Linked DNA regions of Canis lupus familiaris. The protein of the gene in region 3 interacts with the protein of the main gene of each other region in a biochemical or structural test. Links are inferred from orthologs where the notes say so. Each region holds a gene or a part of one and is shown on either strand. Other genes may lie near its edges.

Region 1 (3,743 bases), on a different chromosome or scaffold from region 3:
AGGCTGGCTGGGCACTGCGCACAGCCTTCCCACAGGACCCCATGCCTCACCTTCACCAGGACCAGGCTCTTCTCCTTGGGCCTTCCAGCCGACAGGTCCTGCCCAAAGCCCAGGTAGATGGTGTAGTATGGGGAGCCCCGACGCCGGCGAGCCCGGAACTCGGCCATCTCTGCAGGACAGGACCTGGTGAGCAGGGCCCGGTGGGACGGGAGGGGGTGGGGCAGCATCGGCCCCCGGATAGGCACGTCACTGACCTCGGAAGAACGTGCTGAAGTCGAAGATGGGGGTGTCCTGGTTCCTCTGCAGCAGGCGGGGGGCTGTGGAGGGGCTGGCCGAGCCCAGGGGCCCTCCCACCTCCCAGTAGACCTTGCATTTGCCCAGGCGCCGGGCCCATAGCCCCGGCCCCCGTAACTCCAGCTGCAGGCCAGGGGCCACGTGCTGCAGCAGCTTCTCTGTGTAGTGAAGCTGCTTCTGGTCCGCGAGCTTGGCCGGGCTTGGGAAGGCCACGCAGTGGGGCTCAGTGGCCCTGGTGGCCAGGCTGGGGGGCCCGTACAGGAGCACAAAGCTTGGATGCCACACCACCTCTTGCAGCACCGTGCGGCCCTTGTACATGATGGTCACATCCAGGGCCCTGAGCTCTGCCTGCAGTCCTGGCTGTGAGCAGCCGGGCCTGGCCAGGACCTGCTCCCCTGCCACTGGGGCGCAAGGCTCCACCTCTTGGGGGGGCTGCCACGGCTCCGAGGCTGGGCCTGTATCTGGAAGGAAAGGAGGGCTTGACTGGCACCTGGCCCCCCAAGCCCTCCGTCCTTCACACTCCCATGGGCTCCTCTCACCTGTCATCCGGGCCTGGTGCAGGACCTGGGGCTCAGGGCTTGGGGCCATCTCTGCTGCCCGTGGCTGGTATGGCTCCATGTCAGGGAGCTCTGGGCCTGAGCAGCACGACAATGGGCACAGCTGTGGCTCGCACCACCTCTACTGCACATCCTCCTCCCTCTCCACGAGGACCGTGCTGTCCTCCCTGCTCCTCCCCCCCCCCCCCCCCCCCCCCCCCCCCCCCACAGAGCCCTGCAAGGCAGAGCATCCCCATCTGGCCGGCCTCACCAGGAGTGCCTGGAGTGATTGCATCCACTCCCCATGCAGCTTCCAGCAAATGGTCCTCCAGGCAGCTCTGCTGTAGGGCCTGGAGCAAGAGATCCTCGGCATTGCCAGCTTGGCCCAAAGGGGCGCATGGGGCACAGGGCTCAGGGCTCAGACTGTGCCCCAGCCTCTGGCCAGCATCTCCTCCCAGGCATGGCCTAGGGAGCCCACCCTGCAGGGAAGACAGGGCCAGCATAAGCAGCTCCCCAGCCCAGGAAGGAGGGCAGCCCCCACCTGGGAACACGAGCACCGGGGGCAGAACCGGCTTACCATCAGTGGTGGGGTGTCTTCACCCGCCTTCTCCCCATGGTTAATCGCCGCAGCTCCTGAGGGAGAATGGGGTGAGACTGCAGTGGACATGATGTGTCCTTGGGTAGGCCCTCAGAGCAGGGTGGCTCCACCACTAATCCACCCCAGCAGGCCCAGTCAGCTCCCCCCCCCCCCCCCCCCCCCCCCCCCCCCCCCCCCCGTCCCCAACCACCTGGCACCTGCCTCTCTCAGGTCTGTCTCAAAACCCCGAGCCTGCCCCAGGGATGTGCTCCGGTACAGGGCGAGGTCCCAGCGCCCTCGCCGCACCGTGTCGGGCCTGTGCGCCCGGCTCCCCTACGGCGGCCCTGCCGTGGGGTTCCTCACCTCTGCACCCCGGCTCGGAGCTCAGTGCGTACACTTTATGTGGGTCAGTGGGGTCCCCGGAGTTGTCTTGGAGCATCACAAAGCGCTGGGTGCTGCGCAGGGCACAGCGGAAGTTGGTTTTCCAGCCGGCGCGGAGTGCGGCCTCGCAGGCCAGCTGGTCACGGCCGCCGCCGGGCGGCCACCTGCCTCGGGCCACCGCCCAGGCCTGGGGAGGGGTGGAAGGTGTGAGCCTGGGGCCCGCCCGGCCGCAGCCCCCCTGCCCGCCGGGCCGCGGCCCACCTTGAAGATGAGGGCGTCGGCCTCCCCCAGGTCCTTGCGCGCGAAGTGCTTCCAGGGCACGCGGAAGCGGGTGCGGCCGGCGTCCAGCCACCGCAGGCCCTCGTAGCGGCCGCTGCTCACCTCCCCCAGGAGCCAGTCTGCGAAGAGCGGGCGCGGGGCCCCCCTGCGGGCGGCGGCCGGCAGTCAGGGTGCGGGCGAGGCCGGTGGCCACGCACCCCGGCGGCGGGCGGGCGCTCACCTGTCCGCGGGCACGGCCATGGCCCGGGCGGCGGGCGGCGGGCGGCGGGCTGCTGCGGGTGTGCGGTTCCGGCCGCGGCGGCGCTGCTGTGAGCACAGGTGCGGGCGGCGCGGCCCGGGCGGGAGGGCGCTGGCGGGGCCCGCGGGGACCACAGCGGCACCGACGCCTGCGCGGGCGTGCCCGGGGGCGGGAAAGCGAAACCGCGCGCGCCCGGGAAAGCGAAACCTAAGCCGCGGGGAGGCCTCCGCGCTCGCGCCCCGGGGCCCCGGCGCTGCGACCCCTGTCCTCGGGCCCGCCCCGGCTCCGCGGGCCCGTCGCCGCCCGGGCTGCTCCCGCGCTGCACGCGCCGGGCCTCCGAGCACCTGCGCGGCGGGGCTCCGGGCGGGGAGGTGCGTCTCGCCGTGGGGCTGGGGACCCGCGCCTTTATGAGGCCGGCGGGGGGCGGGCCGGGGGTGGGGCGGGGGCGAGCCGGGGGCCGGCCGCGGCCGCAGGTGCAGCCGACTAGCGCTGCGGCGGAAGGTTCCCACGTGTGTTGACGGCAGCGCAGGCTGCGGAGTGCGGGCCGGGCCGGGCGGTGCAGGGGCGGCGGGAGGGCCTCAAGGAGCACCCCGCCCCCACAGAGGCGGGACGGGGCAGGGGGCCCCTGGCAACCAACCCGGGCCTCAGCTGAAGACCCCACACAGAACCAGGCTCTTCCTTTTTCCCAGGAAAGTGGGTGTTGAAGGAGGGCGTGGGGCAAGTGGCAGCCCTATAGTTCAGGTTCTCTTTTAGTGTTAAGTAGAGGGGGCCCAGAGTGGAGCCCACTGGCCGGTCCACAGACGGGAGTGCCCCGGACTCCGGGCGTGACCCCGGGGCCCGGAATCGAGTCCCGCATCGGGCTCCCCGCGGGGAGCCTGCTTCTCCTCCTGCCCATGTCTCTGCGTCTTTCTGGGTCTCTGATGAATTAAAAAAAAAAAAAAAAAAGAAAAAAACAGCTGAGATCAGAGTGGGATGCTCAACCAACTCGGCCATCTAGGCCGCCTCTTGGGGTTTTTTTTGATTATTTTTTTAAGACATTTATTTGAAAGACAGCTGCAGACTGGGGGGCGGGGGCAGGCAGAGGGAGAGGGTCCCCTAGAAGACTTCCCGCTGAGTGCGGACCCCACCCCCACCCCGGCTGGATCCTGGGACCCTGACATCACGACCTGAGCAGAAATCCACTGTCCCCAGGGAACCGAAGAACCAGCCAGGCGCCCCCCCCACTCGGTGGCTTTTCGATTTTTTAAGATTTTATTTATTTATTCATAGAGACACAAAGAGAGGCAGAGACACAGGCAGAGGGAGAAGCAGGCTCCATGCGGGGAGCCCGATGTGGGACTCGATCCCGGGTCTCCATGGTCACGCCCTGGGCTGCAGGCGGCGCTAAACCGCTGCGCCACGGGGGCTGCCCAGCTTTTGGATTCTTAATGAGAATTAT
Region 2 (3,743 bases), on a different chromosome or scaffold from region 3:
TTTATAGTTATAATATGGGGGAGATATTTAAGTTTTTGGGTCTTTGAGACTCTAAGGAATCATCTGGGTTAGGTGGGTTGTCAACTTTGATGAACTAGTTGGTGGTGACAGCTTGGAGCATGCATGGAAAAAGATTGCCAGGCTAAGCTTAGTTCAGCAGGGAAAAAAAAACTATCATTGATTAGTCATGTCTGCCATGGCTGGGTAGAGGTTGGCATACATATGGTATATTACTAACTCTAATCTAAAAGTAGGCCACTCTCTTTTCCAGTACAAAAATCCCTTATCACACTATCTTTGAGAGCTGGCCTCTTCCCACTGTGAGAATACTTTCAGTAATTGTGAGCTTACTATTTTTCAAGAATGTTCCTTGCATTGTTGAACACCTTACATGTTGAGTCCAAAATCGATCTCATTGCGACTTCCAATCATTTGTCCCAATTCTATTATTTGGAGTTGTGCAGACCAAGTTTATACCCTATTGCACATCATAGCTCTTCAAATATCAGAAGGCAGCTATCATTTAATCTCTTCTCCTAGATAAACACCACTGTTTCTTTTGACTATTTGTTAGATATTGTGGTTTCTGGGTCTCCCACTATCCCAAATGTTGTTTAATGTCTCCTTGCTACACTTCAAGTATCCTACTCAGAAAGGGACAAAGAATTTTAGATAGGATCTGACCAAATGGAATCAATTGGGACTCTTCCTTTTGGGTTTGCACATACTTATATTAATAAGTTTCAGTCTGCACTTGAAACATGTTACTTGGTTATTTCACACTGAACTTTCAGTAAATTAAAAAAATATTTGTGTATGAATCACTGAATTCAGTCCTTCTCTTTCCTGAATTTATATTTAAATTTTTACATTTTACATCATATCTTAATTATAGTTGCCCTCTCTTGAGAACTCGTGTTGCATACTCTGTATTTTCTTTCTTACCTGTCCAGTAGATATTCTATTCCCATTTTGCAGCTGTGAAAAGTGAGACTCAGAGGTGCCCAGTGTCACACAACTAGTAGGTTGTAGAGCTTGGAATCAAACCCAATTCTTTCTGGCTCTCGAGTTTACTTTTTTGGCTGCCAAATGCTCAATTTGCTCACTTTGACCCCTGATCCAATATTGAAAAAAGAAAAAAAAGGTGGGGGAAGATAAACAGGCTATCCTTTTGTCAAGATGTTCTATTTTTTTGGTATTCTGATATATTAATCAGGCACTTTATTTTTAAAAAAGACATAAGAAGGAAATAAACTTTGGCTTCACCAGTTCTTGGTCAAGTTCTTGTTGGTTCCTAGTGGTCATCTTTTTTAAGTGCTCACTAGCTGCCTGCTTAGCTATCCAATCTAGAATTTTGCTGGGGATTAATGGTAAATGTATCAGTCTATGATTTCCAGAATCTAGATTATTGGGACATTTGTTTGTGTCCTTTGGTCCCTATCCTACTTTCCATAAGGTCTCATGGCTGCTTACAGTGGTTGTACCTTTACATCTGCATGTGTGTTCAATTCTCTGGGATGGAAGTAAGATGGGCGAGGAGTGTGCCCTCATAGCTAAGTGCTTTCACACTACATTCTTTCCTTTTATTCGTTGGTTTCCTCTCAGTAATGTTATTTGGTCCACTTCCAATCTGTAGGTAAGAAGCAGAGCCTCTCTCGTAATGGAGGGATTAATGGAAAAGATGCACTCAACAAAGTTCCCAGTGTTTTCTCTTAAAACGAATTCTAAAGTGACCTCTTACCGACTTAACAACAAAAGACTGAATGCACGTTCCCAAAAACCTACCTGGTATTAGAAGTCCATGAAATGCTTTTCGGAGCGATCTACTCTTTCAGATGATCTGTGCTGGGACATTTCTCCATGAATAAAAATAATAGAGTCAAATATGAGCATCAACAGGTATGGCTAATTCCCCAATTATGTCCCAATTAGATCTAAGAGTATATGTATTATAAAAGTCTAGTTAAAAGTTTCCAGCCTTGGAATCCCTGGGTGGCTCAGCGGTTAGCGCCTGCCTTTGGCCCAGGGCGTGATCCTGGAGTCCTGGGATCGAGTCCCACGTCGGGCTCCCTGCATGGAGCCTGCTTCTCCCTCTGCCTGTGTCTCTGCCTCTCTCTGTGTGTCTTTCATGAATAAATAAATAAACTCTTAAAAAGAAAAAAAGTTGAAAGTTTCCAGCCTCTGGCAAAGACTGACACCCACCCAAAGTCGTAGATTAGATCATGAGAGTGCACAAATTAACATAGCTGCTGCACCCGGTCCGTGTGCAGAGAGGCACGTTATTAACACAGAGGAGTCACGAAGTAGCAGTGAACACAGCCGAAGCCCTCTCTTGGTTTGCACGGTTCCCAGGGCTAGGAAGAGCGCTCGGGTGCCCGTGGTTGGTGCCCGTGGGTGGGGCGGGGCCGCAAGGTGCACCCAGGCCCTCACCAGCCCGACCTCGCCCGACCTCGCCCGACCTCGCCCGCGCCAGCCGCCCCGCGCCCGGGTCCCGGCCGTTCCCTCCCCCGCCGTCCTCCCGGGCAGGCCCTTCCTCCCACCTCCCTCCCCCGCCTAACCCCTTGAGGGGCGCCGGGGTCCCGGGCTCGGGCTCGCAGGCGGGGCCGCTTGAATATTCATCTGGGGCGTGGCCCCCGCGGGCTCCGCCCCCGCCGCAGGGAGCCGCAGGGAGCCGCAGGGAGCCGCAGGGAGCCGCAGGGAGCCGCAGGGAGCCGCAGGGAGCCGCAGGGACCGCTGCGCGGGCGAACAGTTGGCGTTTGTGCGTGGGGCTGACGCCGCGTCCTGCCCGGGGCCTCACCCTGCGGGCGGGGGAGGGGCTCTGCCAAGACCAGTGGACTTTTCTGAGGCAGGGCTCCCCCCCACCCCCCCAGCTGCAAATCTCCGGGGGCCTCCCACCTGCCATGCATGGGAAATTCCATTGATGAAAATCCAGGCATTATCCTCTCCAGGAGCTTGTCCCTTTTAAAGAAGACAGGACCCCCCCCCCCCTTAATGTGATTAATTGTAGGCTTTCTGTCCCCCTTTGCAATTCTCTCCAGTGGAGACTTTTTTTTTCTGCTTCCCAGGCTGGTTACAACTGCTCCGCACTTTTTTTTTTTTTTTTTTTTAAGATCATCAAGCCATGGGATGCCTGGGTGGCTCAGCGGTTGAGCATCTGCCTTTGGCTCAGGGCATGATCCCATGGTCCCGGGATCGACTCCCACATCGGGCTCCTGCATTGAGCCTGCTTCTTCCTCTGCCTCTCTCTCTTGTCTCTCGTGAATAAATAAAATCTTTAAAAAAAATCTATAGATATAAAAAAGGATCATTAAGCCATCTTGTTTCAATCTCCCCTCCTGCCCGGCATCCTTTACTCAGTAGTGTAGCATAGGGGCGAAAAGCCAGGCATCCTCAATTAAAATTCCAGTTTCACCAGTTTACAGTCTGCGTGAATGTGGCAGGTGAGCTGCTTTTGCCTCCGTTTCTTCTGCTGCATGATGGATCTGATACCACCTATCTCATAGCCTTGGTTTGAGAATGAAGTGATCCGTATACACAGAGTTTATAGACATGTGTATATATAATATGATATGATAACATTATATATTAATCGTATATGATGTATGTTGATGGATGGTGGTCACATGTATTTTTATATATGTATTTGTGTGTATCATATGTATGTAAAATGCCTGAACAGTGCCAGGCATGTATTAAACAGTAAGTGTTACTGTTTTTATTTTGTCTTTTGGCTGGACGAAACT
Region 3 (3,643 bases):
CTGCGTCGGGCTCCCTGCATGAAGCCTGCTTCTCCCTCTGCCTGGGTCTCTGCTTCTTTCTCTCTCTGCATCTATGAATAAATAAATAAAATCTTTAAAAAAAAAAAAGGTGAGGGCGGGACACAGCCAGGCCCCTGGGGCCTCCAAGAGCGGTAAGAGCAGAGACTCTGGCAAGGGAATGATGTTCCTGAATCTTCTGCCAGCAGGCAGCAGTGCCACTTGCTCTCTGAGGCCCAAGGGGCCCTGGGTCACTGAGTACCTGGCCCGCTGGGACAGGTGTGGAAGTAGAGGCCAAGGTGGGCCCCGCTGATGAGCGGGGACCAGACTGTGTGAGGGAGCCCCCCCACCGCACCCTGCGGCCGGGCCACCAGGCGGCGCCAGCCACTTTCCATGGGCCAGGTGCAGGCCGGCTGCAGCCCCAAGTCCAGTTTTGTCGGTGCCAGGCGACTGTGGGGTGCGGCGCTGGCCCGGGCCCACCCGACACCGCTCCTTCCCTCCGCAAGTTCCAACGTCCTCCTGGATGACAGACTGATGCCCAAACTGGGAGACTTTGGCCTGGCCCGTCTCAGCCGTTTTGCAGGGGCCAACCCCGGCCAGAGCAGCACAGTGGCCCGGACGCGGACGGTGCGCGGCACCCTGGCCTACCTGCCCGAGGAGTACGTCAAGACGGGGAGACTGGCCGTGGACACGGATACCTTCAGCTTCGGCGTGGTGAGCCACCGGCCCCTTTCCTGGCTTGGGGTGCGGGCGCTGTGGCCAAGCAAAGGCAGGAGGGCCCGGGTGGTGCCCTCCGAGGCCAGAGAGCGAGCTGGCAGGAAGCTGACCGTGGCGTCAGCTCCAGGGCCCCTCCGTCCCCGACACCGGCCCCCACCGCGGCCCCACATCTCGGCCCTTCCCTGCAAGTGGCCCTCCAAACCGCCGAAGCGTCAGCCCCATGACGCGTGGCTTCATCTTTGCTGGCAGCCAGTCCTCGGCGGCCCGTCCGAGGGCCGGGCCCCCGTCAGCCTCGGCCGCCTCGTTGGGCTGGGCGCCCCCGTCCACCCCACAAGCCCCGCCGCACATGGCCGTCCCTGCCAAGGCCCTGGGGCAGCACCATCCCAGGAGGCACTGCGACACTCTCCATCCTGCCCTCTCCAGGTTGTGCTGGAGACCCTGGCTGGCCAGAGGGCTGTGAGGACGCAGGGTGCCAAGACCAAGTATCTGGTGAGCGTTCTGAGCTGGGGCAGGGAGGGACGGAGAGAGGCAGAGGGGAGGCAGGGAAGCGCCACTCCTGATAACCAACAGGTGCAGCCCTGGAGGGTGGAATGATCTGGAGTGCAGTGCCCCACAGAAGCCAGCCCCTGCTACTGCTGACTCATCTCTGGAAGTAGGCAGGGCTCCAGACAGCTTCCCTTGACCTTGCTGAGGAAAAACCTGTCTTTCTTCTGCAGATGCTATGGGCCTTTCCAGCTCCCACCTGGGCTGGGAGTGGGGAAGGGGAGATCCCAGTGGGGCCAGAAGCGCAGGGGAGAAGAGAACACAGGGCCCTGGGGGAGGCTGCGGTGGGAAGTCAGGCGAGCTGAGGAGCGCTGCATACTGGGAGGGAGCTGCCCGGTTCTGTCTGGCTCTGTCTGGCTCACTGTGCGCTGGGACGGGGCCAGGAGGCGGGAGGCCTGGGTTCCGGTCCCGGCCCGACAGTGGTCTTGGAGCAGAGCCCTGCTGGTCGTCGCGGGGCCCATGGCCCCACATGCTAAGAGGCTTCATGCACCTGCCGTGCTCAGATGATTCCAGGGCCCGGAATGCGTTCGGTCAACGTTTGTTCTTTACGTTTTGGGGCTGGTTTACCTCCTGCTGCCCCTGATCCGGGCTTGGGGCTGTCTCTGTCCGTTAGCGAGGCTCGGAGGGTCAGGGCTGGAACTGGGGAGCCCCTCGGGAGCGCTTCCTTCACCTTCTCCATCCATCAGCACATCCCATTGGCACAGTGGGTGGAGCCAGGCAGGCTCCCCGGGGATCCTTCTCTGGTCTTCTTTGGACCCTTCCTCTTTGTTCTCCGTGCCAGGGCCTAAGCGAAGTTGCAAAACAAACAAGAGATAGTGTGGAAGGCTCTTTGCCTTCCCCCTGGGCTTGGGGCGGAGGCCCAATCCCTTAACCACAACTCCCTGGGTCCCGCCATCACCAGTGTCCTCTGTCCTCCAAGCTCAGCTAGCCCTGCTGCCTGCCCCAGCGCCTTGGTTCGAGCCTTTCCTCCTGCCCAAAAGGTCCCTTCCCACCCAGGTGCTTCCTCCTGGTCCTTCCAGTCTCAAAACACAAGATGGCCTGCAGTCCCAGCTGCACCCCTGGGTACCTCTCTGTGGGGTGCTCCCCCCCGCCCCCCCTGCCGCTCGCCTCTGACCTCTGGCCAATTTGTGCCTTCAGATCCCGGCGCCCAGGTTCCTACGTGCTACTTGCTCAGGCCCTGGTCAAAGCACCGTGGGCCTCTCCATGGAAGTTTTCTTTCTTTTTCTTTTTGAGATTTTATCGATTTATTTGAGAGGGAGAGTGAGCGAGAGAGGGGCAGGGTGATGAGCAGGGGGAGGCAGAGAGAAGCGGACTTCCCGCTGAGCAGGGAGCCGGGCGTGGGCCTCGATCCCAGCATCGAAGGCAGCCGCCCAGGCGCCCCTTCCTCGAAGCTTCCCGTTGGTTTCCAGGCTTGTTGGTGTCTCTTCCGCTCCAGGAGGTCAGCTCCGTGAAGGTGGGCCCAGGGTGCTCCGTCGCTGCATCCCTCAGGCCTGGGGCAGTGCTGGGCACGCCATGGGTGCTTAATCAGTGTCCAAAAAGCCCTCAGGAGTCAGTGATGAGAGCCCGGGGAATGGGGTGAAGGCGCGGCCCCGTCAGCGGCCACGCTCACAGTGTCTGTCCCACAGAAGGACCTGGTGGAAGAGGAGGCCGAGGAGGCCGGGGTGACCCTCAGAAGCACCCAGAGCACACTCCAAGCAGGCCTGGCCACGGATGCCTGGGCCGCCCCGATTGCCAGCCAGATCTGTAAGAAGCACCTGGACCCCAGGCCCGGGCCGTGCCCGCCGGAGCTGGGCTTGGTCCTGGGCCAGCTGGCTTGCTGCTGCCTGCACCGCCGGGCCAAGAGGAGGCCCCCCATGACCCAGGTAGCCCGGGGGGAGCACTGGTGACTGGCTGGCGGCCCCCGGGGCGGGGGGTGGCCCATCAGACACGGCGCCGCCCTGCAGCGAGCCCTGCGTGGCACCTGCCAGGCCTCTTTCTGGGGACAGCGTCTCCAGACGTTTTTCCACTTGCCCTTCAGTTCTGCTGGGGCGGCCCGAGCCCACCCGGCGGGGCGCGCAGGGAAAGGGCCTCGACGGCGCCCCGTGCTGGGTGCGCTGCGCCACTGCACCTGCGTCTCCTGCCCCTCACCTCTGTCCCCTGCCGTCGAGAATGCAGAGGCCCCTGTGAGGGCAGCAGGGCCGTGAGCTTAGCTTCCCAGGGGACAGAGAAGAGCCCTTCTCCGGCCCTGGTTTGAGCAGCCGTGACTGCTCGGCATTCCTCGTGACAGGGCTAAACAGGCGAGGGATGGAGCTTCCCCGGCTGCAGGGTAGGCCGGCCGCGCGGTCCCTGGGGCCCCCGGAAGCCCAAGCCCCGACACAGGCCACAGGTGACCCGGAGCGGCCCTGTG

Evidence for each region. The genes of interacting proteins can lie anywhere in the genome.
Region 1: the proteins of IRAK1 (region 3) and IRF7 form a complex in vitro, tested with the Homo sapiens proteins (2 studies listed by BioGRID, with this or other methods). The link is inferred for Canis lupus familiaris from reciprocal best matches to the Homo sapiens genes IRAK1 and IRF7.
Region 2: of the proteins of IRAK1 (region 3) and PELI1, one has a biochemical effect on the other in vitro, tested with the Homo sapiens proteins (5 studies listed by BioGRID and IntAct, with this or other methods). The link is inferred for Canis lupus familiaris from reciprocal best matches to the Homo sapiens genes IRAK1 and PELI1.

What each region holds. Positions count from the first base shown.
Region 1 is NC_049239.1:26,059,063-26,062,805, forward strand, and holds the start of IRF7 (interferon regulatory factor 7), read right to left. Parts: upstream 2,329-3,743; 5' UTR 2,308-2,328; coding exon 2,288-2,307; intron 2,213-2,287; coding exon 2,050-2,212; intron 1,976-2,049; coding exon 1,771-1,975; intron 1,464-1,770; coding exon 1,408-1,463; intron 1,310-1,407; coding exon 1,102-1,309; intron 930-1,101; coding exon 834-929; intron 756-833; coding exon 255-755; intron 170-254; coding exon 51-169; intron 1-50.
Region 2 is NC_049231.1:65,153,218-65,156,960, forward strand, and holds the start of PELI1 (E3 ubiquitin-protein ligase pellino homolog 1), read right to left. Parts: upstream 2,354-3,743; 5' UTR 2,203-2,353; intron 1,900-2,202; exon of another isoform or gene 1,857-1,899; 5' UTR 1,786-1,856; exon of another isoform or gene 1,637-1,785; intron 1,115-1,636; 5' UTR 946-1,114; intron 1-945. UniProt on the Homo sapiens protein: E3 ubiquitin ligase catalyzing the covalent attachment of ubiquitin moieties onto substrate proteins. Involved in the TLR and IL-1 signaling pathways via interaction with the complex containing IRAK kinases and TRAF6.
Region 3 is NC_049260.1:123,043,283-123,046,925, reverse strand, and holds part of IRAK1 (interleukin-1 receptor-associated kinase 1), read left to right. Parts: intron 1-443; coding exon 444-711; intron 712-1,137; coding exon 1,138-1,203; intron 1,204-2,882; coding exon 2,883-3,119; intron 3,120-3,643.